Pelodiscus sinensis: one gene and its partners. The protein of the gene in region 1 interacts with the protein of each later gene in a pairwise test. Links are inferred from orthologs where the notes say so. Each region holds a gene or a part of one and is shown in the gene's direction. Other genes may lie near its edges.

Region 1 (7,862 bases):
CCTCCTGGGATCCCTCCCTGGACCCCAGCAGCCAACCTCAAGGGCCCTTTTCACCCACCCCTCATGTGATCCCTATTCCCACCCCCCCCAGCTCAGGGCCCCTCAGTGAGTTGGGGGAGGCCAGGAGGGCTTCAGCCCAGCCCCTGGGCAAATACAACTTTGATCCCTACGAACCCAGGAGTGCTGGTACCTGCTCCCCCGCCCCAGGGTTCTGCCCCCACAAATCACCTCACCCCCTTTTCTTTCTTCCAAAAAACATCTTTTATTTTTTTTCCACCCTCATAACATTTTTTTTATTTTTCCCCCCTCCCCCCTGCCCTAGCCCCACCCCCCAGCCTGGAAATTAAAATAAAGGGGGGAGGAAATAGCCCCCCCCACTCTGCCCCCCCCATATTTAATCTGGTCGCAAGAGCTTCGTGCGGCTCGACAATTCCTTCAGGCTAAAGCCACCTGCAAAGATAAAGACACTGAAATACGGCAGGTAACAGCCCCAGCCCGGATGGAGGGAACGGAGAAGGGGAAAGAGCCGGGCGGGGGCAGAAGGGGCAGGGCCGGGGGTGTGTCCTGCCCTGCGTGGGGAGAAGAAAAGGAAAGAGATGGGAAGATCCGGTCGTGTCCTGAACAAGGGAGCCCCGGGCGGAGAAAGGGGGCGCCGCTGAGACGGGATCCGGAGGGAAGGGGGCTGAGGGGGGATCCGGAGGGAAGGGGGCGCCCGGAGCGAGACGGGGAGAAGCGACGCGCCGGAGGAAGGACCCAGGCGGACAAGCGATGGGGCCGCCCGCAGAGAGAGGGGGAGCAGAGGAGGAGAGAGGAGGACCCTGCTCAGAGAACCAGCCTGGCCCCGGTCAGCCCCGCCCGCCCACCGCGCCCCACGGCTCGCCCCCACGGGGCTGCTCCAGCACTGTCACATTCTTCTTTTTTTTTTTTCTTTTTTTTTTTCCTTTTCTTTCCCAAAAAACACTTTTTTTAGTAAGGGGAATACCATGAGGTTGCTCTCGCCCGGCCCCTGCAGAGGAGAGAAGAAGGGAACGAGTTAATAAGCCGGGGGGGGGGGTGAAAGGAAGAGACAATACAACCAAAGAACCGAGGTGTCCTGGCTCCCAGCCCCTCCCTGCTCTACCCACTACCCCCCACTCCCCTCACAGAGCCAGGAGAGAACCCAGGCGTCCTGCCCTGCGCCGGCCCGGCCCCCCAGACCTGTATGAGCGTCCGCGGGGTCGGCTGTTGAATCCGCTGTAGAACCGGGCCCGGGAGCTGGTGTAGCCAGAACCGCGCCCTCGGTACCGGGCCCGGGGGAAGCCTCGGTCTGTGGTGCTGATGCCGGGCCGGTTGGTCCGTTTGGGGATCACCTGGGGGGCAGAGGAGGAGGGTCGGAGCACCCCAGGGACAGGGAGAAGGGGGACCAGAGGAGAGTTGGTTGGTGGGGCAGGCTCTGGGGGGCAGAGACAGATCTCTGGCTGGTACAGGGCTTTGAGGCAATGCTGCTGTGGGCCTGGAGAGGATCTGAGCCCAATCTTGGGGCTCAGGGCCCGGGTTTCGGGGTGCAGGACTCACCTTGATCTGTCGCCCCCTGAACAGGGATTCATCTAGCGCCATGGAGGTGCGTACAGACTCCTTGTCGGAGAACTCGATGTAGGCAAACCTGGGGGTAGGGGGATCCCACGTTAGACACCCCAAAAGCACAGGGACCCAGCCACCCCTCCCGCCCCAGGAGAGCCCCCGAAAGCTCACTCACCCTTTGGGGTGCCCGCTGTATTTATCGCACAGGATGGTGACGCGGTTGACGGACCCGCAGCCGTGGAAATGAGCTTCCAGCTCTTCAGCCGTCGCCCCATAATCCACCTGGAAAAGGGGGGCGTGGGCTGAGAAACAGGGTCCCTGGAACCCCCCAAACCTCCCCCACCCTCATCATGGCTCCTCCACTTACATTGCCCACGTATATGGACCGAGCGTCCGCCTCCATCTTTTCCTCTAAGGACATGATGACAGGCCCAGCTGTGAAGACAAAGCGGGGGGTTAGTGAGAGGGAGGCTGTACCCCAAATCTGTCCAGGGGCCCCTCCCTTTTTCAGAATAGGAAGGGGAGCACCCCCTTCCTGCACTGTCTTTACCTGGCATAACTCATGTGGCTAGATGCATAAACAATTGTGTTTATATAGGCCCTACGCAAACAACCCAATAGGGCAACATTTACGTAGGACCTACCTAAATGATTCCGAGCACAGGAGTGTGGCACTGGGAGGCCCCAGAGGGCTGAAGGGGAAGGATGGTCACCATTTACACAGAACCCACACAAATGAACGGCCGGCGTTTACAAAATGTATTTATGTAGGTCCTACAAAAAAAATCCAACAAGCACAATTCCCATGTGGCTCTCAGCATTGCCACCCCCCAGAAGTCTGAAAGAGAATGGGGGGGGGGAAGCTACTGGTTACATAGGCCCTACACAAACAGAATTGTGACCCCCAAATGTCTCCTAGATTCACCACCCCCACAGTCCAAAGGGGGGTACTGGGTACTTAGGTCTTACACAAAGAAGATGGTGGCGTTTAGGTAGGTCCTACACAAAGAGCTTTCAGGAGGCCATAATTCCTCAGTGTCTCTAGACTTCCCAATACACAAGGGGCTCTCAGCTGGAATTGGGGGCGGGGTTATTGTTTATGCAGGCCCTACAGAAATAAAATAGCAGCATTTACCTAGGTCGTCCTGTGCCAAATGCGCCCCAGAGCAGGGAGGCTCCCAAACACAGAGAATTCCCCACCACTCACAGGGGCCCAGGAGGAAGAGCGGGGGAGGGGAGGAAGAGAGTTCCTGTTTACGTAGGACCTACACAAATAAAATCATGGCTGTGCTGCTCACAGGCGTGCCCTGGCTGCGCCACCCGCAGAGGGTCCAAGGGGATTTCTGGGGGGAAGGGGGAAATTAAAGAGGACACGGGGGGGGGTCCTCACCATTGCCTGGCGGGGGGCTCATGTTCATCTGCTTCTCCACCTCATTCTGCAGCTCCTTCAGCTTCTCCGCCTCCTCCTCCATCTCCCGCACCCGGGCTTTGATGGCCTCCAGCTCCTGGGAGGCACGGGGGTCAGCTGGGGGGACCCCCCACGGCTGAGACTAACACCCCCCCTTGACAACCCTCGCCAACATCCCCCCTCAGCGCTGCCCTTAGTCCCCCCTTGCGGCTCTCCCTGCTGCCCAGCCCCCCAAACTCCCTGAATGCTGACCCACACACAACCCCTCTGCCACTGAATCTCCAACCCCCTATCCTGGCCCTGACCCCCCAGATCCCGTGCTAGATCCCCCCCACACAGGGGGCACTTCTCAGTTGTGCCCCACCCCGCATTCCCCCGCCCCTCCCCCTTAACAAGCACTGCCCCTCCCCCAAGCCCCCCGCCCCTCCCCCACCTACCAAGCACTGCCCCTCCCCCAAGCCCCCCGCCCCTCCCCCACCTACCAAGCCCCCCGCCCCTCCCCCACATGCCCCCTGCCCCTCCCCCCGCTCACCGGGTCCTCGATGGCGGGGTCCCCGGGGTCCCCCTCGCCCAGCCCCGCCTCCTCCTCCAGCTCCTCGGGGGGGCGGTGGGCGGGGCCCCCCCCGGGCCCGGCGCGCGGGGCGGAGGCGGCGGGGGGGGGCGGGTGCGGGGGCCCCCCCCGGGCGCCCCCCCCGGCCCGGCCCCCCCCGTCCAGCAGCAGCTCCCCCCCCTCGTCCTCCCCCTCCCCCCCGCGCCGCACGCGCGGCCCCGGCTCCGCCCCCAGCGGCGCGGGGGGGCCGGCCCCCCCCTCGGGCCCCTCCCCCGCCCCGCGCGCGCCCCCGGCGCTGCCCCGCGCGGCCGCCGCCACCGCCGCCGCCATAGCGCCTGCTGCTCTGCCCGGGCCGCCGCGCCGCGCGCCGCTCCTCATTGGCCGCCGCCGCCGGGCCCCGCCCCCGCCGCCGCGCGCCATTGGCTGCCGCGCGGGGCGGGCCGGCGGGGGCCCCGGAGCTCGCGCGCCATTGGCGCCGGCGCCCGTCCGTCAGCGGGCGGCCGCGTCCCCGATTGGCGGCGAGCGGCGGAGGCCGGCCGGCGTCCCTGATTGGCTCCCGAGCCGCCTGGTCTCCAGCGCCATTGGCGGAGGAGCCCGCCGGTCCGATTGGCTGCGGCGCGAGATCCTGGCGGAAGGGCTCTGGGGGCTCGCGCGCCATTGGTGCCGACGCCCGCCCGTCACCGACACGCTCGAAAGTGATTGGCCGCCTTCGGGGGGGGCCAACCCGACGCTTTCGATTGGCCGCCGGCCCGCCATCACTCCAACGCCATTGGCGCATGCGCCCGCCCCTCATTGGCGCCCGCCGCTGGGATTGGCCGGAGGCTCCAGGGCGAGGCTAGCGCCTTTGATTGGCCCAGCGCCGCCTCACCCCCCCCCCCCTCCGGCGCGCTGCCTCCTGATTGGTGGGGGCTGTTGGCCCCGCCTCGCCGCTGCGACCCCTTCCGCCCGAGCCGCTGATTGGCTGCGCAACGGCCCCGCCCCTCTGACCTTTGACCCGCCAGCGTTTGACCCCCCTGGCCCTCATTTAACCCCGGAAGTGCCCGCTAGACTGCCCCGACCTTTGAACTCTGGTCCTTGACCCCCGCCTCCTCACCCCTGCCCCCACCCCTCACCTGCCAGGTCCCCTCTCTCCCCTTCCCAGCTCTGCCCCACCCCCACCCCCCCAACCCTGCCCCCTCCCCCACCTCCCACCTGCCCCACAGCCCCCACCCCTCATTCCTGCCCCCCAACCCTGCCCCCTCCCCCACCCCCCATTCCCACCTCCCTCCTGCCCCCTCCCCCCCCATTTCCTGGCCTGCTTCCCAGGATCCATTAGCTGCCTTTGGTCTCATCAATTATTGATCCCAGATTGGAGCATTTTCGGCCCTTTGGCTCCCCGGCCCCAGACTGCCGGACGCCTGGGTCCCTGCCAGGTTAACTCTGGGAGGAGCCTTTGCCCCGCCCCGGCTGGTAAAAAGGGGGATCCCTGGGCACAGGGAGGAGAGGAGGCTGGGCGGAGGGGACGTTACGGTAACCGCCCCATCCACTTTGGACATGGAGGGACACTAGAAAGGGAGGGGTGGCTGCCGGAGGAAAGAGGAGGAAGGAGAAAGAGACGGAGAGCGCGCCCGGGCGAAGCCACCTCGGAGCCACAGAGCCCAGCCAGAGCAACCAAAAGACGGATGGCAAGGAGAGAATGAGACAGCTGCGGTGGAGAGATCGAAGGCAGCCCTGAGAGAAGAAGAGAGTCCGCAAGGGAGGAAAGCGGCAGACAGTTGCAGCGGGATCAGAGGAAAGAGGAGGAGACGGCGCAGGAACGACGGAACGAGAGGCACCCCGGACGGAGAGAGAGAGACCACCAGTCCCTGGCAGAACATGGAGAACAAACCAATCTGGCTGGCGTGAGAGATTCGGACTCTGAGGAGGAAAGGAACAAGCAGGCAAAGGCCAACAGATAGAAGACGGCAGGGGCCAGACGGAGACGGAGCCTCAGAAACTCAGGAAGGCAGAAGGCAGTGAGTTAGGTGTAGGAGAAAGCGCCCCGCCGGAGCAACAGAAGGAGAATTTTTGGAAGGAAAAAACACAGAAGATTGTGACAAGCAAAAGAACGAGTCAGATCTCAGCAGAGAGAGAGACTCGGACCCTCCAGAAGAGGCAACGGAGGAAGGCAGCAACAAGGAAGCGGTAGAACAAGCCGCCGCCATGACGGAGCAATAAAACAAGCCACAGCCCAGATGGACTGAGCGGCAGAGTGGACAGAGAGCCAGCAGGATTCAAACCCCAGATAAAGCAACAGAGCAAGCCAGAGCCCAGGAGTGATAGAATGAGTTGGCTCCCAAACAGAGCGACAGAACAAGGCAGGGCCCAGACACAGCGGTAGGACTCAGCACCTGGGTGGAGCGATAGTGACGGCCAGATAAAGCGATGGAGCCAGGCAGGGCTCAGACTGACAGTTAGAACAAGGCCCAGACGGAGTGAGAGAAGGACTTAACGTCTGGACCGAGCAATACAATGAGGCAGGGCCTTGGCCAGTGACAAAAGGACTCAGCCTCCAAGCAGAGCGACAGAACGAGGCAGGGGCTGGGACGGTCGCAGGGCTCAGCCTCCAAGCAGAGCGACAGAACGAGGCAGGGGCTGGGACGGTCGCAGGACTCAGCCTCCAAGCAGAGCGACAGAACGAGGCAGGGGCTGGGACGGTCGCAGGACTCAGCCTCCAAGCAGAGCGACAGAACGAGGCAGGGGCTGGGACGGTCGCAGGACTCAGCCTCCAAGCAGAGCGACAGAACGAGGCAGGGGCTGGGACGGTCGCAGGGCTCAGCCTCCAAGCAGAGCGACAGAACGAGGCAGGGGCTGGGACGGTCGCAGGGCTCAGCCTCCAAGCAGAGCGACAGAACGAGGCAGGGGCTGGGACGGTCGCAGGACTCAGCCTCCAAGCAGAGCGACAGAACGAGGCAGGGGCTGGGACGGTCGCAGAAGGACTCAGCACCCGGGAGGAGCGGCACAAGAAGCCAGTGCCCACGCGGACCGAACCAGGCCCCATGGCGCGCGCCCCCCCGCCCGCCAGTGACATCCCACGCAACCTAAGCTACATCGCGGGGCTGTACGAGCGGGCATATTACCGCACGGTCCGGCCCAGCCTGGGCGACGACTCCGACTCAGAGGCCGAGGGGCGGGCGCGAGGGCCCAGGCCGCGGGGACGCCAGGGCCGGGCGGGTGGCAGAGGGGGGCACCGGCGCCGCAGGGCCCGCTCCGCCCCGGCCGGAGGGCCTGGGGGGGGCTCCCGCAGCCGCAGCCCCGGCGCCCGCAAGCGGGTGCGCTTCGCCGATGCCCTGGGGCTGGAGCTGGTGAGCGTGAGGCGCTACTGGCCAGCCGAGCTACCCCAGGTCCCGGAGCGTGTGCACACCCAGCTGCGGCAGGACACCCTACGCCACTTCGCCCCCCTGCGGCCCCTCTTCTCGCCCAGCCAGGTAATGGGGGGGGGCAGGAGAAAGCGGGGGGGAGCATACGGGAGGAGAAGACAGTGGAGGGATGTGCACAAGAGTTGGGGGGCAGGTCCCCAGTAGGGGGCGTTGGGCTCCAAGGTGGAAAACTGCACATTAACTTTCTCTTTCTTTTTCTCCCCCCACCCTGGCTTTCTCCAGGACCCCCAGGACCCACAGGCAGGGCGCCTGCCGCTGGCACCGTGTTTCCGGGACCCGCTGGGACTGCCGGACTTCGGGGCACGGCTGGGGGCGCAGGGCGTGTGCCTCGAGGGGGTGCGAGCCGGGGGGCTGGGGGTGGCGGGGACCCTGCGGGTCCTTAACCTGGCCTACGAAAAGAGAGTCAGCGTCCGCTACACCTGGGATGGCTGGGCCAGCTACCGGGAAGCCCCCGCCGCCTACGCCGGGCCCCCCGCCGGGCTCCTGGCCGGCCCCCCCTCCGACCGCTTTGCCTTCCGCCTGCCGCTGCCCCCCGGGGGCGCCCTGGAGTTCGCCCTCCACTGCCACGTGGGGGGCCAGGAGCTGTGGGACAACAACGAGGGTCAGAACTACGTCCTGCGGGGCGGGGGGCGGGCCGAGGGCCCCCCCAGCCCCCCACGAGATGGAGAGGGTGGCTGGATCCACTTCATATAGCGGGGTGCACAGCCATCCCCTCGTGGAGAAGAGACTTCACGGGGAGGCCCCACTTGCAGCCTCCAGATCCTCTGGGGGATCTGTGCGGGGGGGGGAGGAGGGTTCGAAGTTTAGGGCCCTGTGGCCATGGGGGCAGGAACGGGGATGGGGGGGATAAAAGGGGAATCGCGGGTTGGGAGGAGGGTTGGGCTAGGATGGGGGCGGGTGCAGACCAAAGACATGCCCCCTCCCATCGGTCACCACCCCCTGCCCT
Region 2 (7,996 bases), on another chromosome or scaffold:
GTTCCCCCAGAACCCCTATTGGGCCCACTGGTAATTAGCTTTTAGTAGCGCCTGATCATAGAAACACAAAATTTTGCACAGATACTACTGATTTCCTAACTTAAATAACTGTATTGGTTATATCTCGAAATCAGTTCCCCTAGACCCCCAGTTGGGCCCCCAGAGCCCCAATTGGGCCACTAATTTGCTTTTAGTAGTGCCTGATCATAGGCATTTGCTGGACTCTTCTGTTAAGCGTGTCACATAAACTGCAACTACGAGATCTTTTCCCTATGATAACAGAAAAAGTATTTCCAATAAAATATCTTATGTTAACATAATTTACGTAGTTCATTCACCACACCTTTTGTTATCAAGAAATGAGTTAAATGTAAATGCATTTTGTAAGCACATCACTAGCTATGTTAATTTCTTAAAGTAATATATAAGAGAAAAGTATTTCCAATAAAATATGCTATGTTAATGTCATTGACGTAGTTCATTCATCACACTTTTTACTATATTTTCCTCAGGCGACGCCAGGTATTTCTGCTAGTATTTTATAAATTTAAATAATGGTTGGGGTCTTTTACTCCTATTTAGTGCAATATCTCATACAAAAAATGATGAATTGTGCAAATATCACAAATAACTGTAAAAGGGGTACAGCATATCAGTGAGTAGCCAATTGTACCAGCTAATCTTGCATTTCATTTTCTAGGCATTTCTATTTTAGAATAAGGAAAGTAATGGAACAAAGAATAATACTGAAGTCTACATGATAGCATGCTGCATCCACTCTACCTCATAAAATAACTACTGCCTCTGCAGACAGCAGTTTTCCAGAAATGTAAAGGTATGGTATAGAGAAAATTAAGCCATAAATTATATAGCAACATATACACCACATAGTTCATTTCAGCTTGGTAGAGCCTGATCCAAATCCCACTGAAATCAATGAAAAGATTCCTTTCATTCCATGGGCTTTTTGTTAAAGCCGTTAGACCTGTACATCAAGACAAACTTTACTTCCCATAAAAATTCACATCACAGAAAATCTTGCATTATGCAAACTGCACTGAGATAAGCTCTCTAAAGTCATGTGTACACTGGCACAAAAGACAGCTAACTTGGGTTCCCATGGTTTAGGTTATGGGGCTAAAAATTGTTGTGTAGGTGTGCAGCTCAGTGCAGAATCCACCCTTCTACTTCACCAGGTGCAGAGCTCAGAGTCCACTCTGGGCCTGAATGTCTACCCAGCAAGTTTACAGCCCCAGCCCTGTGAGCCCGAGTCAGCTGTTCCAGGCTAGCCCTGGGTGTTTAACTGCTGGGTATACATACCACATAGGGCCAGTTGTGAGGGTCCTTCATAGAACTTCACAGTACAATGTGTTTTTAGTCTGGCATCACTAGACTAGTTGTTAAACGAGAGTCCGTAGTGCCATCTCCTAGCAGACTGGTACACCATGCTCAGTGGTCATGAGAGAATCCATAGTAAACTCCCTTTCCAACGTGGCACAATCCACCAGAAAACTATGCCCAGGTTTTTAAATCTGATTTAAAATGTTAATTCCCTAAAAGAAGGGATGGGTGAGGAGAATAGAAACAAAGACAATGGCTTTAAACCTAAAGCCGTTACTAAACTGGATGATGAGGGACCATTTCCAGACTTGTCTTTGCCCTTCCAAACTCAGTGGGCCAGATTCAGACCTGGTATGTATGGAAACAACTCAATAGAATCAAGAGATTTTTCCCCCCACATTTATGCCCAGAGCTGAAGGCAAATTTTGGCACTCAGGAAAATTCATCCCCGGGTTTGGACTTGTAGATAGCATCCAACATTGCAGAAGAGCAGTGAAGGGGACTGAAGAAATTATTATTCAAGTGACTTTGCATCTTCTCCATTTTGCACAGCTTAGCTCCATGCCCTTTCACCCTAGCCCAGCATAGAGTATTATAGGGACTGTTTTTGCCAGTCCAAAGTTACAGATATCTATTGGCTACAGTTGGAAGGATGGGCTGTAATAGTGCCCATCAGCAAGCTGCACAGATGAACACACACTGGTGTCAATCTGACCCTAGCCTCCATAGAATTTCCTAGAGAAAGTTCCGATGTGTGTGAGGAAAGGCAACTTCACCATTAAGGTTAGGAGAAACTTAAGTTGAGGCTGCGTGGGAAAAAAACTAATGCTCTCATCAGAGCTCAACACAAATAGCACCTATCCTATAACAATATTATCTAACATTTTGCTTATTACAATTTTCAGTAATTTGACTGGACTAATTTGTAGTATACTGAGTCTACACCATGTGCCAGTAAATATACCAGAAGCTGAAGTAACTTAACAGAAGGAAATGAATAACTGAATGTACACTATGCTGTCCTGATGTAAATACTTTCAGCAGTTTGGAAGTATAGAATGACTTCAATTAGAAAGGCTACACATTAAAATCAGATGTTGTGTGTTCAGTCAATTGATGCAAACTGTATAATGTGTTAAAATTAAAGACAGTAAAACTGTAATGAATCATTTTTGTTCTTTTGATTTTGCATCCGACAAGTGAACTTCTAAATCATTAGGTGGAATTTCATTAGTTCAAAGAAGCATCTAGTGTACTCAGCCTGGGTAAATAAGAGGCAGATTTAAAATAGGACCTCACATAAAGACACATCACCAGCCCTATGGCCCTGATTCTACAAAGCACTTAAGCATGTGCTTAATCATTGTGGAAGTCAAAGTATATGTTTAAGTCCCTTTGTTGAATAAGGATGGACTTAAGCACTTGCTCACAGTTAAGTATGTGTAGTTTAAATACCATTTTAAAACTCAATTGTATATAACGATGACATTTCATTAGTAAATATTTAGTTTAGGTTTTGTAGTGATTCACTGCCATTCAGTTTTTAGTGTATTTTGAAGGATAAACAAAGCATCTTACAGTATGAATCAAAGGACAGATGCAAAGATCCATTAGTCACAAACATTTTCATTAGTGACAACTGAATTTTTGTTTCGACATGAGGTAGAATAGCTGTAGAATCAGTGTTTTTTAATGAAAACATCTTCTTTTAATCTTTCTTAGGGAAAAGCAGGCATGCTGGAAGAGTGTTTATAGTGGGGGTTCTGAAAGCCACTCAATCAAACTGTAAACTCTGTGTATAATGGAAACCATTTCAAATCACAGGGTGCTGCAGCATCTCCCACACTCCTCGTTCCAACAATTATGAGTTGAAGGCCCTGTATTTGTAATGATTCATGTAATCACTACATTAGTTTTCTGCCAATGAAAATATTCTTTCAGACAAAAGAGATGTTTTTATTTTTATTGTAAACATTCATACGTAGTCATTTCACTGCAATGCTGTATACCTGTACAGCTTTTTATCTCTTTGATATTCATGGTATTTTCTCTTTTTTAATTTTTATCCATAAAATATACTCTTTTTTTGGTGGTTTAGTTGGCTTGCTTGCTATGGAAGAGTCAAACTTGAAATCAAGATTATGAAGTTTGCTCTTAATTTTTAAAAGAGTAGTCATTCTAGTTCTGATTCTTCATCTGCTGACTCCTAAAGGATTATTCTTTTAAATTGAATGTGGGTTTTGCATTATTTTCTTTTTGCATGGTTCTAAACTGAGCTATTTAAACCATTCTACTAGCAGCCTATAATTGGTCGCTAGCACTTGACCGAGTATCCTACTATCCAAGTGGATAATGGTTTTTTTGTTTGTTTCAAGTATGAATTGAAAAGAAAGAGAGATGTGTTTTGCTTACGTACCACTATCATATTATGGGAAAGGTACTGTGATGGTCTTTCAGAAATGAATATATACGTGTATTTTAATTGTGGTTTTGCTTTACAAAAATGGTATTCTAAATAATAGTCAGCACTTACATTGTACTTTTCATCTATTGCTACTGAAAAAACATTAGAAGAATTAAAAGCCAGTGAAATAGGTAAATATACCCATTTAATGGAGGATAAACTTTGATAGTTAGGATAAAGGAGACCTGCAAAGTGGTGGAGGGGGAGGGACAGAGGAGAGAGTGGAATAGATGTAGTCTTTTTTTGCTGCTGTATGTTTATATAATATGGCTTGAAAGGTCTCTCTCTCTTTTTCTCTTTCAAAAAGGCTTCTTTTTCATATTAGAAATAATCTAGACCTGAAACTCTCTGATGACTGGACATTAGTGAAATGGTGACATCTCAAGAGCCAAAAAAGTGCAAGTTGAACAATTGTGGGGGAGGGGGAAATGATTTCTAATAAAACTGTCTTTAAATGTCTTTTTTTTAGCTGTTTCTGCTAACACCTCTATAATTGCATTGACTAACATTATGGATATAAAGGAAGCTTTTGCTCAAATTCAACATCTTTGTCTTTTCAATTAAGGCCTAAGATCTTACAACATTCTCTGATTCTTCCCAGAGGCCCTTCAGCAAAAACAAGGAAAACCCATACCTGATATTTTGATTAGTTTTTTTTAAAGGGCCTCTTTTATGCACTATTAAGAAGCAGAAAAAGGGGTAAGTGATCTTATACATGATTTGTCTGGGAATCCAGCAAGCCAGCAGCAGAGCAAGGATTAGAACCTAGGATTCTAGGTCTGTGTCCAAAGCTCTCAAACTAAACTGAATGAAAGTTACATTTCAAAAGTTCAAAAGCAGAGCTAGGGTTGCTCAGTTTTTTCTGGCTTCATCTGCCTTCTTCAGGGGGAAACAAAAACAAAGTTTTGTCTTGAACCAGTCCACAGGTTTTCATTCAGTTGTTTTAAACCTGTACTAAAAGTTGATCAGATGGAAAAGCTATACTATAGTGAAAAGCACAAAAATCAAATGGAATGTATGTTGAAAACTAAAATCTACAAATGACTTTTGCTATCTGATAAGTCTGAACATGCAGGTGTGAGCAGCCTAGGGCCTGGTTTGCCAAAGCTTTAAATTGCTTATGAGTGTGCACTGAAGCTTGTCTTTTCTACTTTTTGTGATGTCAGGCATTTCCTTATGTGGTGCGACCAATAAGAGTTTTCTTCTTACAGAAATCAGACTGAAAGGTAAAACACCATTGTTGGGCAGAAAATCTGCCAAAGTTCATTAAATTACACCTGCAGGAATCTAGCAGCAGCAGCACAACTCTGTATAAATGAAAGTAAGACAGAAAGGTGAGTTTAAAACATTTTGTTCTGACTTTTAATCTTCAGTTGGCCACATATTTGTCTAAAAAACAAATGTGAAAGGAACTGATCATGTGAACAAAATACTGTACTCTTTTAGAGGAAAGGACAGTTTAAGGATCAATTAGTATCTCCGTCTTTATAATTATGAAATTACTTGCTACCATGGCCTCAGCAGTGACTTTTTATTACTTCATACGTTTAGTTCAATCTCTTCATAAATTAAAATGCTGATCAATTTCATAATCCATAGGAAAAGGCTTGTAACTTAATTGCAGTGTAACAGTGTTTCTTCCTAACTGATTTTAAAATACTCTTCTGGTTGGAAAGGATAGTATCAGCCTTAATCCACAAAATCTCTGTTTGCTAGTTGTGTTTTGTTTTGTATTTGTACATTTCTAAGTAAACTTTCATCTGTGGTAAAGTATGTTAACATCAAAATGATATCCCTTCAGATCAGAATGTTGAACTACCTTTGAAAAGATAAATTATTTAATTCAATTTGTGTTGGTTTGCTTTTGGCACATACAGTCTTCCACTGACTAACTTAATCTCACAGTCAAGTTTTAACTTAAAGCAACTAAAGTTTTTAATGATATAGCTGCAGACTGTGACCTGAATCCTTTACATAGTTACACTTGTGAATAATTTATGCATATATTAGCAGTCCCATTAACTTTTATAGGTCTTTTGACCTCTGCAAAAGTTCACAGGACTGGACCCTGTATTGGCACATACCTGCTAATGCCTCAATTTCAGCAAAGTATTTAAGCATGTATCTACATCCATCCCATTCCTGCAAAGTACTTCCAGAGATTTAGTCAAAGGGAGTTATCAGGTGCCTGGAGTGTTTTGCTGGGTTGGGAGGATGGACTGCTGAATTGAGGTCTTAGATGCATAGCTATCTCAGAAATATCATAAATAGAGTATTCAGAACACAGCTGCAGTAATTCATGCTTTCCATTTATTGGCAAACATATTGGTAACAAATTGTTCTCCCAGCAATAAAAAGAGCAAGACTGACCTTAAAAGTTCTCACTGGGGAGCTACATCAGTTGATTGTTATTTATTTAATTTTATTTTATTTTATTTTATTTTATTTTATTTTACACAGAACTGCGCTGTGGAATCCTATGTAAAGATTGAGGATCCGGTTTTTCCCTTGAATCTATTTGTATTTGCTCAGTCAAATTCCTACAGTACAACACCAATAGCTTGGCAGTTGTCCCAGTGAAATAAAACCTGTGCTTTATATTATCATCTATTGTTAAAACAAAAAAATCACTGATCTATAAAATGGAAGGCTAGGATTCACCACTGGGTTATATAAGGCATTTGAAAGGATGCTTTCTTTGAGAAGTTCTACACTAAATGCTCTAATCTGCTTTTTTCCTGAGATAATATTGGAAAATTCTTCTCAAGGAAGTAATCTGTTAATAATTTATTATCATATACTCTTTCACCCCAAAACTCTGATTGTATATTTTCCAAAAATATAAATTGAAACAAGCTGTCTGTTAGCCTTCTCTTGCCACCTGAAAATATTCCTGCCTCCACTGTCAATTCCTTTCACTCACTTGGGACTCATCTTGTTCTGGGTTCCACAAACATTAGTGCTATTTAGAGGTTTGTTCTTTGCTTGTGCGTTTGGGCGTTAACTGCTGCAGTGCTTTATCGTAGCACTGCATTAGAAAAAGAGAAGGCCCTTGACTCAATATCGTGCTTATTTATCAGAGCTGAAAATTTAAATTTCCTGTGTGAGCATTCTGAAGAGTATCCAGTATCTCTCCTAGGATAACATTTTTGTACAAAATGCCAATAAAGTACGCTCACAGGATGAGATGGTAGATAAGCTTCATTGCATTGTAGAACATTGAATTACTTTGTTGAATGTAAGACTATCCAATAGCTCAACGTTTTTTTCAAGCAGGAAGACAAAGGGACAAATTCCAAAATGCAATATTTCAATATTACAGGCCCTCTACGGGAAGTGAGGGTGAGGGGTAAATAGGTCAGTTGCTCTGGGGCCTGGGGCTCAGTGACAGCAACCAGAGCCCCATGTCCTTTAAATCACTGCTGGAGCACCGTGCATGCACTCCAAGCAGCTCTAAGGGCTGGGAATGGCCAGCATGGTGTGCTCTGGGTGGCAGTCAGAGTCTTTAGTCAGTACAGGCAGTCCCCGAGTTACGCGGATCCGACTTACGTCGGATCCGCAGTTACGAACAGGGCACTTCCTCTCCCTGGTCTCGAGCAGACCAGGGAGAGGAAGCAAAGCGGCGGCGGAACGCGCGGCCAGCTGTTAGCTGGCCGCGCGCACCGCTCTGCTTCCCCCCCTCCCCCCCCCCCGTCTGCAGACCAGGGGGAGGGGGAGCAGAGCGGAGCACAGCAGAGCGGCGGAACGCGCAGCCAGCTGACAGCCCAGACGCGTCTGGGCTGTCAGCTGGCCGCGCGTTCCGCCGCTCTGCTGTGCTCCGCTCTGCTCCCCCTCCCCCTGATCTGCAGGGGGGGGGGGAGCAGAGCGGAGCACGCGGCCAGCTGACAGCCCAGATGCATCTGGGCTGTCAGCTGGCCGCGCGTTCTGCCGCTCTGCTCTGCTCCGCTCTGCTCCCCCTCCCCCTGGTCTGCAAACCATGGGGGGGGGGGGGAAGCAGAGCGGAGCACGCGGCCAGCTGACAGCCCAGACGCGTCTGGGCTGTCGTTCCGCCGCTCTGCTCTACTCTGCTCCCCCTCCCCCTGGTCTGCAGACCTGGGGGACGGGGAGCAGAGCAGAGCAAAGCCGCGGAGCCCGAGGGCAGCAGGATAGCCACGGCGCGTCTGGGCTGTCCTGCTGCCCCTGTGCTCCGCG
Region 3 (7,775 bases), on another chromosome or scaffold:
AAATGGAAGCAAACTTTGCCTATGTAATCTTCTTTACAATATTGGGGGCCTAGGTTTAATTGCAGAATCTTTATTGTTGGAGACGCATGAACCAGAAAGAACCCAGCTTGTCTTTAAGATTTCAGACTGACTTTGTGTAGCTGGAAGTCCCTAAAAATAATCTATTTAACTTGAAAAATGGACATATTTGATCTCGAAATATTTGACACACTAAACATAGTGTTCCAAAATGTCATTTTTATCATAACTCTTTCAGATTAGAACTAAATTTTATAGAATAACACAGATTGTCATAATAATACATGGGTTTGTATAAAAGATGGATGCCTATAATTCCATAATGTATTATTTAGTGCACTAAAGCAATTAGCAGCTAATATGAACACGTCCCAACACAAGGACTACAGATACTACATTAAATTAGGGCAAAACTTATACCAGGGCTGATTATATTACTTCTGAATGAGACTTTATGTTACTACTGACTTTACACAGAGTGGTTGTTACTGAACACTACTAAATTACTTATTAATAAACCACATACAACTGTGGTGCAAATTCCTTTTTACCATGAATACATTCAGGAATAGGTTAAAAAAAAATCAAACTTGCCAAAATCATAAGTGATTTATTTAGATCTGTGAACCTTCAGTATTATTTTATTCATCAAGTAAGTGATTCCTTCCCCAGCTATAATTAAAACAGAGCTATGTAGGTGGTATTTTAGGTATTAGGGTTTTTTACTTGTATTTATAACAGTTAATCTTATCAATTGTGTTAAAATTACTATTAGCTGTCTTATCTACACGTGTTGTGCTTAAAGAGGTCATATAAGAACTAATACTTTCCCCTCTTCAAATGACCGTTCCTTCTAAAATGAAGTATGAAGTAGCCATTCCGGTACTACACAAATTGATAAAAACAATATGGTACATGAAGGTATTTGTATACTGTAGAGTACCCAGAAATATCAAGTACAGTAAACTTCCGATAATCCGGCACCTTTGGGACCCAGGGGGTGCCGGATTATCAGATATGCCGGACTATCGGAAGTGGGGGCTATGAGGGCTCTAGGGTGGTGTGGGGGGGATATCACTCCAAACCCCTCATAGCACCCCCTTCCGATAGTCCGGCTCTGCCCCAGGCATCCCCGATTCAGCCGCTGCTGGTCAGCAACTGAACCTCAGTTGCTCTTGGGGACACCTGGGGCAGAGCAGCTGGGGTGCTGCCGGGTTGGTCCCACAGCGCCAAGGGGCGGCACTACCGGACCAACCCGGCAGCACCCCAGCTGCTCTGCCTCAGGCATCCCCAAGTCAGCCGCTGCTGAAACTGACCAGCGGCTGACTCAGGGAAGCCCAGGGCAGAGCAGCTCTGCCTTGGGCTTCCTGGAGTCAGCCGCTAGTCAGTTTCAGTGGCGGCTGAATCGGGGACGCCGGGGGCAGAGCAGCTGGGGTGCTGCCGGGTTAGTCCCACAGCGCTGAGGGGCAGCACTACAGGACCTACCGGCAGCACTCCAGCTGCTCTGCCCCCGGCTTCCCCGATTCAGCCACTGGTCAGTTTCAGCAGCGGCTGAATCGGGGAAGCCGGGGGCAGAGCAGCTCCAGTGGTCTGGTTGCCCAGAGTACTTCCGGGTTCCTGATGGTGCCGGACCATCAGGAGTGCCGGACCATCAGATGCCGGACCATCAGATGCCGGACCAATGGAGTTTTACTGTAGTAAACAAAGTATGATACTACATCAGAGTAGAGTATAATTACTTAAAACTATAATTACCTTTCTCCCTTCTGGCGTTTCAGATTGCCTTTATACTCAGCCCACATGCTCTTGTCTGAAAAATCCCCAGATACAAAGTCTTGCAAATCAGGTCCATCTTGCAGAAATTCCTTCTTTTCATCTGGCAAAGAACCTGATGCTCTGTACTGGCTGCACCCATGGCTTCCACATACCTAAACAAAGCAGAACTGTATTATCTATTTAATTATAAATGTGCTATATGTATTGGATATATGCTAGTGTACATCTCTTGAGAGGTGAAAGGACTTATTTTAGCTTCATACAGAAGCTAAAAAGTTAACAATTTACTTGAAGCATGTAAATAAATAACAGGAAAGACTTCAAAAACAACAATAGACTAGTAGCACCTTACAGACTAATAAAACATGTAGATGGTATCATGAGCTTTCGTGGGCACAGCTCACTTCTTCAGAAGACAGGAGTGTTAAAAGTCCAGATCCAAGAATAAATAAGGGAAGGCGGAGGGGGGGAAGAGAAGGAAAAGGAGGGGAGGAAGAAAAAAGAGAGACAGTGAGTAGATAAGCTTCAGAGCGGTAGCCGAGTTAGTCTGTACAGTAAAAACTTAAAAAACAACAAATAGTCTAGTAGCACCTTAAAGACTAACTAGTTGTACCTACTTGTACAACACTCCTGTCATCTGAAGAAGTGGGCCATGCCCACGAAAGCTCATGATACCATCTACATCTTTGTTAGTCTGTAAGGTGCTACTAGTCTATTGTTTTTTTTAAGTCTTTCCTGTTACAGACTAGACTCAGCAATCCCTCTGAAGTAAATAACAGTTCATGATGGGCAGGCACTGGAGGAAGAGCAAGCTGTCCATCCTAAAATTTAAGATAATAAATTATTACTGCCTAATTATTTAGAACTACTGTGGAAGATTTATTTTCACAATTTAAATCTAAGTTCCATCTTTGGAAGTTTGTGCTCAGCTCTCCTCGATTTAAATGGGAGCTACGAGCACATACCCGATAGCAGAACTTTTGCTCATTTTCGAGTACAATCATTTGAAAATCCAGAACAGGCAATAGGAACTCCAATCAGCAGATGGAGACTGGAAAATAACATTTCCTGGTCTCATTCCCTATAAAGGATGCAGCAAAGCCCTTAAGTTTCAAGAAGTGAAAATCAAAACAAGGGAAGAAGCTGAACATGTAAATGTGAACAAAGCAATAAGCAATAAAGTGGTGTCTCTGTCAGCACTGCTTCCTGCAGCTCCCATTGGCCAGCAATGGCAATCTGCGGCCAAGAGGAGCTGCTAGCAGCTATAGCTGCGGACTCAAAGGTAAATAAAGCATCTGGCAGCCTGCCAGGGTCAAGCCCTGCTGAACCTCGTCCAGCCTGCAGGCCGTTTATTGCACAGAGTCTGGGGTCAGCTCCGTGCGGCACTACTTGGTATTCAAAGGGGCAGCGCTGCATGGACTCTGGGGTCAGCTCCATGCGGTGCTGCTTTGAAACACTGAGGTGACATTTCAAAGGGGTAGTGCCACATAGCTGAGCCTGGGATCAGCTGTGCAGCGCTGCCCCTTTGAAACATCACCGGAGCGTTTGTGTAGAGCCCAGGGTCAGCTGGAGACTCCCCAGTTGACCTGGGCTCTGAGTGGCATTTCAAAGTGGCAGCACAGCATGGAGCTCAGAGTCAGCAGGGGACTCTGAGTCCCTCCTTAAACCAGGCTCCATGAGGATGCTTCCGTTTTGAAATGCACAAAACCGCTGGTGGGGACTCTTGTACATTTCAAGCTGGCACCTGCATGCAGCCTGGAGTCAGCGGGACTTCCTGCTGGTTCTGGAGCTGCATGTGGAGTTCCGCATTCCCAAAATGTAAATCAACTACTCAACTAATAAATTACTTAATATTTAACATCGTTACTCCTCCTGGCATCTCAAAGCAGAGTTCAGCTGCAGGCATAGCGTGGGAGAGTCCTGCCATTACTGCTACTCTTCCCTCTCCACAACTGAGCTCTCACACACCACGGAGGATGCAGAAGAAACACAAAGCAGCAGTGTCGCAGTCAAAATTCTTCTTCTCAGCTCCCTGTAACTTGAACAATCTAATTCCCATTTTTTTTCTTTTTACCCCTCCCTTATTCGATCTGGGCTGTTAATGCTCCACTCATCTGGAGAAATGGGTTGTGCCCACGAAAGCACAGGGACAGGAACCAGCCACTCGGTGCAGAGCCACGCCCGGTAGCAGGAGGGCTCGGTCTCAGGGGGACGAGACGCGGCTACTAGCCAGGCGAAGCTACAGCCACCAGGCAGGGCGGGGGCGATGCACGGAGCCGCGGGGCGAGCGGGAAAGACCCGGCCGAGGGGCGGCAGCTGCCTGGACCGGGCCACTCTCCAGCTCACTCACCCGCCCCTGGGGCCCCAGCAACAGCAGCCTCAGGCTCGTCATGGCGGCGGCGCCACAGCAGCGGCCGCGCGGGAGCAGCGCCATGACCCCTGGGCGGGGAGGCGCCGCGGCCTCGGCCGCTCGCTTTCTGTCCCCCTCCGAGCCCTGAAGAGCCGTCCCGATCGATTTGTTCGGAACTCACCGGATCTGCCTGCCCCCATGCCCTTTTTGCGCGGGCCTTGATGCGCTCGGCGGTCGATCGCTCCTGCCTCGGAGACGGTTGGCCGAGCGCGATGACGTCAGCCTAGGCGGAGGGCCTACAAGAACGCGATGACGAAAGACGCTCTCCCTTTCCTTTCGGTCTGCAGCGAGGTGAGGAGTGTTTCTGGTTCGCAATCTGCTGCCATCCGCGGCCCCGGGGCCCTCTCGCGCTGCGCCGCTGCCGGGCCCGGCCCGGGGGGGCTCTAAGGGCCGTTGGGGCCGCCCCGGAGAGGCACTTGGCCCCGGCCCGGGGGAGAAAGCCCCGGGCACAGTCACCCCCCCCCTCCGGGAAGCTAGGCCGGGAGCCGGCGCTGGTGCCCTTTTCCCGAGCCGCGCGGGGGCTGTCGGGCCGGGTCTTAGTGGCGGTGGCCGGGACGGGTCGGAGCCCGCTGTGTGGAGCGGCCGTTGCCTTGGCCTGTGGGTCCCGGTTCGGGCGGGCTGGGCAAGGCGCCGTGCGGGGCCGCTCTGTTGTCTCTGCCCTCACCCTGTGCTTGTCGTTGTAGAATGAAGACCATTCTCAGTAACCAGACTGTCGACATCCCGGAGAAAGGTACAGCCCCTTGCTAGTTCCACGTAGGCCTTGCGCGCTCGCCCTGCCGCGCGTTAACTCGCTTTCCTTGTCTTCCAGTCGACATTTCTCTGAAGGGCCGGACAGTTATTGTGAAAGGTCCCAGAGGAACCCTGCGCCGAGATTTTAACCACATAAATGTAGAACTCTCCCTCTTGGGAAAGAAGCACAAGAAGGTGAGCACAGTCAGGGTCTCTAGGGCACTAATTTGGAACCCTGCTCTGCCATGAACTTCCTATGTAATCTGTAGAAAGTCACTTAACTGTGCTTGTTTCAGTTTTTGTCTGTTTATTTTGACAACAGTGCTTTCTGACTTCACTAGCTGGTGTGGGACTAAAGATTGTGGGCTGCTCAGCTACACTGATAGGGATCATGCAAGTTTCTAAGAGGCTTGGAACTTGTTGGGTGTTAAGGGTTCAGTTCTGCTCTGCAGTCAGGTATTATCAGTGTCTGTCATTAGGCATGCTGTTTTTGGAGGGGTGAGGGTTCAGTGTTAACATTCTGTGGTATGTATGTAGTTAGAAATGTGGAATGAACTAATCCATTTTCTGAAAGGCTTTTGGTTTCCAAAATAACAAAGTATTTAATTTTAAACTGTAACTACATGTAACTAGCTAGGTAACCTAGAATTCTTCTGCTGTGATAGCTCAGTACATCTGAGTTAAATTGTCTTGGATGTGTCATTTAATGACTGTATCTGCCTGGTCTGCTCTTTGAAATGTGTCTTCCAGTTATGCTAAGCAGGACATGACTTTGGAGGAGTGCTCGTTAGTACTTTATTATGTACTCCTTTCCAAGTTCAGTTTCTTTTTGGTGGTGATTACAAGGAAGCTAGATAGAAAGCTTGATTCTAGTTACTGGGAAGGAATATTTCCAAGTTTCTCTAAGTAAAGCACCCTAAAAACATTTCCTTAACCTTGAATATTTTTTGAATGAATTTTTGACAAGATGAGAATTAAAACCCACATAAAATATTTGAGAGGTGAAGAGTATGGCTTAGCACATCTGTGTTTTTGTTTTAATGTATAGATTAAGAAATATGCCACTGTCAGGGCTGCTTGCTGATATGTAAAATTGGTGAATACTTTTGCTAATGAACAAGCACAAAACTTGCTATCCATAACTATCAGTGTGAAGAGGTCAGAGATTGGAATGTATATAAAAAGGAAATGAGCTTCTTACCTGGAGAATCCATTCAGGAAAAAGTTTATGGACCAATGCTAGGAAGTTCACTTTACTGCCCTGTACTTTCCATGTACAATAATTGGCACTCATACATATCTGTCATCTGAGTGTTTTAAAGCACTTTGCATCAATACAGGTTAAACCTCTATTATCCAGGACTCTGGTCTGCCAATATCTGTGGTCTGGCAGGACCACAGAGCCCCAACTGACCAGCTTCAGGAACAGGGCTGGCAGGTGGCAGCGGACTAGCCAGCAAGGTGGGGGAGCACAATCCTGGCACTGTGGGAAGTGGAGCCCTAGCAGAACTGTGGGGCAGGGAGCAGGCTGGGAGGGGAGCCTTGATCTTTGGTCCAGCAAACTCTGAGAGTGGTCCTAATGATGCCAGACCAGGGAGGTTCCACCTGCATTCTTAAGTGTTAAAGCCTCCATTTTGCAAATGTGGAGATGGATTTGCTGACAGTTACACCAAAACCAGTGTAATTCGTTATAGTGTTGAAGCAAAAAATCACTCCTCTCTGTTTAGGCAGCTAACAAACAGCTTTATTAATTAATAAAGCACAGTATGAGCCAAACGTGGTCCCAGCAAAGCTGTTAATACAATTAATTCTAGTATTTTTATACCCTTAGCCAAACAGTTTGACGTCAGGACATCCAATTACAGAAATCTTTAATTACATTTGGAAAAACAAAGTCTTATTAACAAGATGGTGGACAGGTACAAGGGAGTACATCTCCTGTCCCAACCAGCCCAATTAACACATACCAATAGCCCATCCTGTAGGCCTTTTTTTACGGGGTGACAAAGTTTACTTTGGTCTATGTGCTTGAGAGAAGCTGAAATGGTTTCTGATATACAAGATGGCTTCTAGTTAAATATAAAAATGGTTTCTACAGCTTCTACAATAGGAAACATGTTAATCCTGAATTGAAACTGAATAATTGGTTTAATTTTTATTATAGCTACGTGTTGACAAATGGTGGGGTAACAGAAAGGAGCTGGCAACAGTTCGAACAATTTGCAGCCATGTTCAAAACATGATCAAGGGTGTCACATTGGTAAGTTTTATTTTGAAACAGAATATTTGTCATTTGAGTCTTCAGAATGAAGTTGTCTGATATTATGAGAATTTTTTAGCTATGCTAAATGAAAGATGCTATGTACAACAGCGTGAATACCTTTGAGACTCAATTCTTCAAAAGCTGATCTAACACTTCATCATATTTGTCCAGTAGCTATTAAATATAGTTCCTAGTTTTGCAGCCTGCTTGTTCTATGACATTTTAAAGTTCACTTGTAATACTTTTTTATTTGGTTACTCCCAGGGCTTTCGTTACAAGATGAGGTCTGTGTATGCTCATTTCCCTATCAATGTAGTTATACAGGAAAATGGATCACTTGTGGAAATCCGTAACTTCCTGGGAGAGAAATATATCCGCAGAGTGCGCATGAGACCAGGTAAGTATAGTTAGAGGTCTTGTACATTGCTAATTGAAGTAGAAAGTGTAGATCTGAGCGTGATGGGCTAGGGCTTATGGCTTGCCACTGTCCACATCAGACCAGAAACAAGTGAGCTCTAAGTAAAAGAGTAAAAAACATCAAAATGCATATAGTTGCTAAAACATACACACTTCAAAGAT
Region 4 (7,597 bases), on another chromosome or scaffold:
TTCCCCCCAGAAATGTATACCCTGACTGCTCAGCCCTGTAAGTCCATTATTCCTTTAAAGGAATAATATACACACAACTTGCCTCCCTAATGGAGTTACACAGACTCCAACTTAAACCCACCAGAGTAGATACAACATTCGTTAACTACACAGAGATGTAAGTGATTCTGAGCAATAAACATAAGAGTCAGAGATGGTTACAAGAAAAATAAAGACAAAACACTTTCTAGTGCCAAACTATATGAGATACAAAGTAAAGTTTCTCACCACATGCTTCCAATGGCATTGCTGACTGACTTTTTCAGGTTAGACCCCCTCCCCAGGGTGCAGCAGCTGATTCCTTTGCCTTCCCAGGTGCAGAGAATGAGATAAACAGGGAGATGGAGAAGCATGGGGGGGATGCTTTGTATGGTTTCAGTCCCTCTTTGAAAAGCATTTCCAGCTGAGACCCAAGAGACAGGGAGCTTGGGGGAGGCAGGAGATCTCATGCTCTTTCTTAACATGCAGATCTCATTTAAAGGGCCGTGGTGCAAGGACCCGTCAGGGTGTGTCTTCTCTGTGGAGGAGGAGGTGGGTAGCAGGCAGTTCCACAGGGTGGAGCAGGTTGGCCTCATTCTCCTTAGAATAACACAGCCCACTCCATGGACTGGGGGGAAGGACTGGATGGGCACTGAGGCTGGGATCCACCTGTGTTCAGAATGGTCCCTCGGAGCAAGTAGGGGTTTGCCCAGCTGGGAGTGCCCTGACTCTTCTATGTTTGTGCTTCCTCCTCCAGGATACCATCGCAGGAACCTGCAGCTTGCAGTTCCACAGGTGAGGAGATGCCTACAGACCAAGACAGGCTAATACAGAGCTGGGAATAGAACCTAGGAGTCTTGGCCACACCTGCTTACTCCATTTTACCCGAACAGAGTTCTGCAGTGACGCAGAGGAGCTGAGAGCAGACCTGGAAATGGTGCTGAGGGAGGACCAGAGCCTGGATGACCAGGACGACTTCTACGACTGAGGGAGGGATCCAGCACAGGTGGGTCCCAGTGAGACAGGGAAGATCTGGGATGTGACTATCTCCACGGCCTTGTGGGACACAGAGACAGTGTTGGGAAGCTGGCCTCTAGGGGAGTATCTAGACTACAGGGTTTTGTCAACAAAAGTGGACTTTTGTCAACAAAACTATACCTGCGTCTACACTGCCACTGAGTTCTGTTGACATAACGTCGACAGAACTCAGCAGTTTTGTCGATGGCTGTAAACCTCATTCTATGAGGAATAACACTTTTTATTGACAGAGTTCTGTCGACAGAAGGCATTACTGCATTTACACTGTCCTTTGCGTCTACACTGTCATGTCGACAAAGCAGCTTGCTTTGTCGACAGAACTGGATGTAGTCTGGGCGCTCTTTGTCAACAGAAGCTTTGTCGACAAAAGCCTGTAGTCTAGACATACCCTAGGGTGGGAGTGACACATGGACTGTGGATTCCCCTACCTTGCAAAGTATGACCCCTCCTGGGGCAGCCCCTTGAGTTTAGGGGAGGGGTGAGCTGGGAAGGTTCAGACTTGGCACCACTAACTTTGGAAGGAGGGCAGAGTGGAGAAGCAGGAGTTCTGAGGGGTACTTCAGCACCACATCCTCCCTCTCCTCCCAGAATGCATTATGTTACTCCTTCCATGGACCCCCAGCACCCACTTTCATCTTGCGAAAGCTGGATGTAGATTCATAAATGATAGCTAGGTTTGCAAAATGTTTGGGGCTGGTGTAAAAAAAAAAAGCGAAATGATTTACGCTTGCTAAGGGTCTGGCCCTTTAGCCCACCCAAGCATTGACCTCGGTTCTCCTATCCCTTGGCAGCCATGTAAATCCGGAGTGACTGCATCCCTGTCTGCGTGGTTATGCCAGAGTGAAATGAGTGTTGGTGGGAGAAGACTCAATGCGGCTGGATGGAAATGGAGTTAATGTTCATGTTACAGTGCAAAGGTGAAATTAAAGCCTACCAGGAGCTGAGCAATGTGGTTGCAGCACCTTTGAATTTGAAATTGTACCATTTGTGTTTCACTATTTGCTCTCCTGCTGCTCTGGACCATTCAGATTTTCCTACGAAATAATACTAGTCCTTGAAGCTGGTGGAAGGTTTTCCAGATCAATGTTTTTCCAACCAAAAATGGCTTTTTGACTAAATGAAAATCCCATTCTCTCCCTCTCCCCTCACACCCCACCTGCCCCTTTAAAAAGCTATATTTGTCAAAACATTTCCAGGGAAAAACTAAAATTTGCAACTTTCAACGACAACAAAAAGGTGTGGGATTTTTTTGTAGGGAGATGAGGGGAAATGTGGATCAGGTTTGTTTGTCAAGCAGCTGTTCTAGTTACTTTAAGAAGGGCCAACAAATATTCCAGAGTGTCTATGTGCAAGAGAGATTCTATGTTGTTTTTTTATTACAACGAGTAATCCTGTGGCACCTTAGGGTATGTCTACACTGCATTCCTCTTTCGAGAGAGGAATGCAAATGCAGGTGAACTAAATTGCAAATGAAGAGCGGATTTGAATTTCCTGTACTTCATCTGCATAATCGCGTCCGGGCGCTATTTTGAAATACCTTATTTCGAAAAAAGAAACGCTGTCTAGATGCGGTTATTTCAAAAGAAAACCCTTCTTTCAAAATTACCCTTACTCCTTATACAATGAGGTTTAAGGGTTATTTCGAAAGAAGGGTTTTCTTTCGAAATAACCGCATCTACACAGCGTTTCTTTTTTCGAAATAGGGTATTTCAAAATAGCGCCCAGATGCGATTATGCAAATGAAGTGCGGGAAATCCAAATCCGCTCTTCATTTGCAATTTCGTTCACCTGCATTTGCATTCCTCTCTCGAAAGAGGAATGCAGTGTAGGCATAGAGAGACTAACCAATAGGGTGTATCTACACTTGCAGCCTAATTCGAACTAGGGCTGCAAATGTAGGCATTCAGAATTGCAAATCAAGCCCGGGATTTAAATATCCCACACTTGATTTGCATCTTCTTGGCTGGGCGCCATTTTTTAAATTTACAAGCCCAAAGTAACTGCCCGTGTCTACACGCGGCAGTGAAACGGGTGTTCGAAATAAAGCCCTAGTTCGAACTACCTGTTATTCCTCCTGCAATGAGGTTTAACAGGTAGTTCAAACTAGGGCTTTATTTCGAACGCCTGTTTCACTGCCGTGTGTAGACGCGGGCAGTTACTTCAGGCTTGTAAATTTCAAAAATGGCGCCCAGCCAAGAAGATGCAAATCAAGCACAGGCTATTTAAATCCTGGACTTGATTTGCAATTCCAAATGCCTACATTTGCAGCCCTAGTTCAAATTAAGTTGCAAATGTAGACATACCGCAAAATACATATAGTATCATGAGCTTTCGTGGGCAAAACCGACTTCTTCAGATGAGACTGAGTGGAATCACTCTCCTATGGTCTCCATTCAAGTTCATCGGAAGAAGTGGGTTTTGCCCATGAGAGCTCATGATATTATATTTATTTTGGTTAGTCTCTAAGGGTGCGTATACACAGCCCCCTTATCCTGAAATAAGCTATGCAATTTGCACTATGCAAATTGCGTAGCTTATTTCAATGTTTTTTCTAAATAAAGCACTATTCTGAAACGTCCCTTATCCCTTGTGCAATGAGGTTTACAGGGATGCCTGACTAGCGAGCCTGTTATATTTCGATATAATGGGCTTGCTCTTAAGACAATCGATATTTTGGGAACCTGGAGGTATCCCGAAATAGCTCCACTGTGTAGACATAGCCTAAGGCACCACAGGACTATTCATTGTTTTTTAAGTCACAGACTAACATGACTATGCCCCTCTGAGATGTTTATTGTATTGTGAGTTTTGTGATATTTGTTTTTTCCCTTTAAACTCCAGCACCTGCACTCTTGGAATTACAGAAGAATCTCAGCATTCATTAAAATAAGTAATTAAAAGTCAGTTCTCCTGAGTGTGGAAAAAAGCTTTCCCAAGTGCCCCGTAAAGGCTCAGAAATCAGAAGACAAAAATCATCCCCTCACGTATTTACGTTAAAAACGGATCTTTGCCTGGGTTTTCGGGCCACGCTCTTATGGGCATTTAGGCTTGGCGTTGCTCAAGACTGCCTCTGTATGGCATGTACAGGGAATCTACCTTTTGGGGAAGATGCCACACGTTTGCTAGAAAGCCTGGAGGAGGCGAGAGAAGGCACTGGGAACCGAACACCTTGGGTTACAAAGCTTCAGGGGGTAGCCTAGTCAGTCTGTTACAGACAAAAACAACAAATGGTCTGGTAGCACTTTATAGACTAACAAAACATGTAGATGGGATCATGAGCTTTTGTGGGCACAGGCCACTTCATCTGAAGAATGAAGTATTTTGGGGGGTTATAAAGAATAACGAGCTTGGATGGCTCGAGCTGCTCCCTGGAATAAACCAGAGCACTACATGTTCTTGTCTGTCTCACCTGTTTTGACATGGGAACTACCTTTCCCGGCATGCACCTGTGAGGGGAGACACCCGCTTTCAGCATGCACACGGAGGAAGGAAACTACAACTCTTGGAGCATGCCCTTGGAGTAGCACAGGAAGAGCTAGTGAGAACTACATCGCCCGGCATGCATTTGGGCGCGCACGTGACTGGGAGGGAACTACAGCTCCCGGCATGCCGTTCGCCCAGCCACTTGCCCTAGTATGGCTGCGCCCAGGCTGGGCTGAGCGGCGCGAGCGCGGTTTATAGTGGGGCTGAGCCGGTGAGTTCCGAGCGCGTGGGGCGCACAAGGCAGCAGCCGGGTCCCGGAGGTGGGAGGCAAAGGGGTGAGGTTCAGGGGTTTGAGTAGTATGGTGGGGGGCTGAGCTGTGTGCTTGGGGTGTATGGGGGCCCTGGGGATTGGGGGGCTGAGCTGTGTGCTTGGGGTGTATGGGGGCCCCGGGGATTGGGGGGCTGAGCTGTGTGCTTGGGGTGTATGGGGGCCCCGGGGATTGGGGGGCTGAGCTGTGTGCTTGGGGTGTATGGGGGCCCCGGGGATTGGGGGGCTGAGCTGTGTGCTTGGGGTGTATGGGGGCCCCGGGGATTGGGGGGCTGAGCTGTGTGCTTGGGGTGTATGGGGGGGCCCCGGGGATTGGGGGGCTGAGCTGTGTGCTTGGGGTGTATGGGGGGGCCCCGGGGATTGGGGGGCTGAGCTGTGTGCTTGGGGTGTATGGGGGCCCCGGGGATTGGGGGGCTGAGCTGTGTGCTTGGGGCGTATGGGGGCCCCGCGGATTGGGGGGCTGAGCTGTGTGCTTGGGGTGTATGGGGGCCCTGGGGATTGGGGGGCTGAGCTGTGTGCTTGGGGTGTATGGGGGCCCTGGGGATTGGGGGGCTGAGCTGTGTGCTTGGGGTGTATGGGGGCCCCGCGGATTGGGGGGCTGAGCTGTGTGCTTGGGGTGTATGGGGGCCCCGCGGATTGGGGGGCTGAGCTGTGTGCTTGGGGTGTATGGGGGCCCCGCGGATTGGGGGGCTGAGCTGTGTGCTTGGGGTGTATGGGGGCCCCGGGGATTGGGGGGCTGAGCTGTGTGCTTGGGGTGTATGGGGGCCCCGGGGATTGGGGGGCTGAGCTGTGTGCTTGGGGTGTATGGGGGCCCCGGGGATTGGGGGGCTGAGCTGTGTGCTTGGGGTGTATGGGGGCCCCGGGGATTGGGGGGCTGAGCTTTGTGCTTGGGGTGTATGGGGGCCCCGGGGATTGGGGGGCTGAGCTTTGTGCTTGGGGTGTATGGGGGGCCCCGGGGATTGGGGGGGCCGAGCTGTGTGCTTGGGGTGTATGGGGGCCCCGCGGATTGGGGGCCGAGCTGTGTGCTTGGGGTGTATGGGGGCCCCGCGGATTGGGGGCCGAGCTGTGTGCTTGGGGTGTATGGGGGACCCGGGGATTGGGGGGGCTGAGCTGTGTGCTTGGGGTGTATGGGGGCCCTGGGGATCGGGGGGCTGAGCTGTGTGCTTGGGGTGTATGGGGGCCCCGTGGATCGGGGGGCCGAGCTGTGTGCTTGGGGTGTATGGGGGCCCCGGGGATCGGGGGGCCGAGCTGTGTGCTTGGGGTGTATGGGGGCCCCGGGGATTGGGGGGCTGAGCTGTGTGCTTGGGGTGTATGTTAGAGTGGTTGAGTAGGGGGGTATCTGTATGGCTGTATAAGAGAGCTGGGAGGCACTACGACCATCAAGGTGCAGTGGTTTCTAACTTTGTTGTGGCATGAGCCACAACTTGCTGAGGTCAATGGCACCTCCTCAGTACAAGAGGTGCCCTCCCTAGTGCCAGCTTGGTGGGTGCTAGAGAAAGCTGCCAGTTTCCCTGGGGCTGGATGTGTCCCTGTGACTTCCCCTCACCTCTGTACTCACCTCGCAGCCGAGACTCACCATGTCAAAAATCTCCCGTGCTGCCAAAGCTGTGAAGAAGGTCAATCCCGGGAATGTCATCCGAATGATCATCAGGGCAGGGCAGGCGGTGCCGGGGCCTCCCCTGGGGCCTGTCCTGGGTCAGGTAGGCCAAGCCCCTCACTATATGTGTGAGCTGGGGTGGGGAGTGCAATGCTGGGAGGGTCGGGATGTTTAACGAGTGGCATGGGTTAATGAGGTTCTCTGCAAGGTCAGCGGGTGTGTCTAGGACAGCGATGCTCCAAAATAATTCTCTCCCCAAGGTTCTTGATGCCTCCTATAGCCACTCACAAGATGGGGTGCTCAAGGCTGTGTGATCGGTGGGAGGGATGTAATAGTGTAGTTAACCAAAGCTTATCCATTAATGCTATAGAGTAGACTACATGTGTTTCCCCACCCCCACCCCACCAGTAAATTTTTTAGCAGCTGGCCAGCAGCCCGGCTCAGTCCTTGCTTGTTCCAGATCCAGGACCTTCCCCCGCTGCAGCTCTGTGTTTAAAGTGTATTAGGAGCCAGGCAGATAGCCCGGCTCAGTTCTGGCTTGTGTCGGGTCCAGGAGCTCAGACCCACCCTGGATAGGGGCTGCTGCCTCTGTATCAGAGGCAACAGCCGGGGGGCAGCAGGCAGCCAGTATGTGAGGGAAGCTGGTTTTTAAACTGGCTCCCCTTATGGACCAGCTCCTGCCTGGCACCCCCCACTGCTGCCGCTGACACAAAGGGAGTCTGTGGCTTGGAGTCTTGGTGCAGCCCAGGTGTCTTTCTCTAAATCTTCACTCCAGTCAGCAAGCAGCTCTGGGTAGGATCCCCGGGGGGGATTAGCCAGCCTGCGTGATACTCAGGGTCAGACGGCAGGAGCTGAACGGGCCCTTCTGGCCTTGACATCGGACTGCACAAGCACCTGCTGCACCCGATCCCACCGTGTAGCTCCCATACTGCCCAGCACGGTGCCTGCGTGTTGTCACGTTTGCCGCTGCAACCCTGTCCATGCTGCTGGGGCTCCAGGCTCTGCTCAGACAATGGCTAAAGGGCTGAAATGCTCCGCTGGCTGCAGCTGCTGCTTGTACAAAGGTAGAGCCCAGAGGCACCGTTCTGCTGGGCGCTGTGCACACCCCTCCCCTCTGCCCGGCTGAGATCCGCCCGGGCGGTGCAGGGGCTTGGATCATACCCAGCACTGCACAGACTCACCCCAAGAGACAG

The links.
Region 2: the proteins of HOMEZ (region 1) and LNX1 interact in binary tests that used the Homo sapiens proteins (3 or more experiments, as listed by UniProt). The link is inferred for Pelodiscus sinensis from reciprocal best matches to the Homo sapiens genes HOMEZ and LNX1.
Region 3: the proteins of HOMEZ (region 1) and RPL9 interact in binary tests that used the Homo sapiens proteins (3 or more experiments, as listed by UniProt). The two-hybrid records come from large-scale screens. The link is inferred for Pelodiscus sinensis from reciprocal best matches to the Homo sapiens genes HOMEZ and RPL9.
Region 4: the proteins of HOMEZ (region 1) and MRPL11 interact in binary tests that used the Homo sapiens proteins (3 or more experiments, as listed by UniProt). The two-hybrid records come from large-scale screens. The link is inferred for Pelodiscus sinensis from reciprocal best matches to the Homo sapiens genes HOMEZ and MRPL11.

The regions. Positions count from the first base shown.
Region 1 is NW_027465928.1:42,010-49,871, forward strand, and holds the start of HOMEZ (homeobox and leucine zipper protein Homez), read left to right. Parts: upstream 1-4,847; 5' UTR 4,848-6,535; coding exon 6,536-6,964; intron 6,965-7,138; coding exon 7,139-7,252; intron 7,253-7,862. Other genes in the region: PABPN1 (polyadenylate-binding protein 2), read right to left, coding at 967-1,006, 1,198-1,349, 1,555-1,642, 1,736-1,842, 1,928-1,995, 2,951-3,032. UniProt on the Homo sapiens protein: May function as a transcriptional regulator.
Region 2 is NC_134715.1:85,860,307-85,868,302, forward strand, and holds the start of LNX1 (E3 ubiquitin-protein ligase LNX), read left to right. Parts: upstream 1-4,983; 5' UTR 4,984-5,139; intron 5,140-7,996.
Region 3 is NC_134715.1:92,988,900-92,996,674, forward strand, and holds the start of RPL9 (large ribosomal subunit protein uL6), read left to right. Parts: upstream 1-4,774; 5' UTR 4,775-4,888; coding exon 4,889-4,934; intron 4,935-5,012; coding exon 5,013-5,128; intron 5,129-7,097; coding exon 7,098-7,193; intron 7,194-7,460; coding exon 7,461-7,593; intron 7,594-7,775. Other genes in the region: LIAS (lipoyl synthase, mitochondrial), read right to left, coding at 1,774-1,946, 4,145-4,233, 4,269-4,344.
Region 4 is NC_134721.1:32,294,479-32,302,075, forward strand, and holds the start of MRPL11 (large ribosomal subunit protein uL11m), read left to right. Parts: upstream 1-4,592; 5' UTR 4,593-4,750; intron 4,751-4,793; exon of another isoform or gene 4,794-4,814; intron 4,815-6,372; 5' UTR 6,373-6,384; coding exon 6,385-6,507; intron 6,508-7,597. Other genes in the region: uncharacterized protein LOC102453925, read left to right, coding at 776-813, 912-1,006.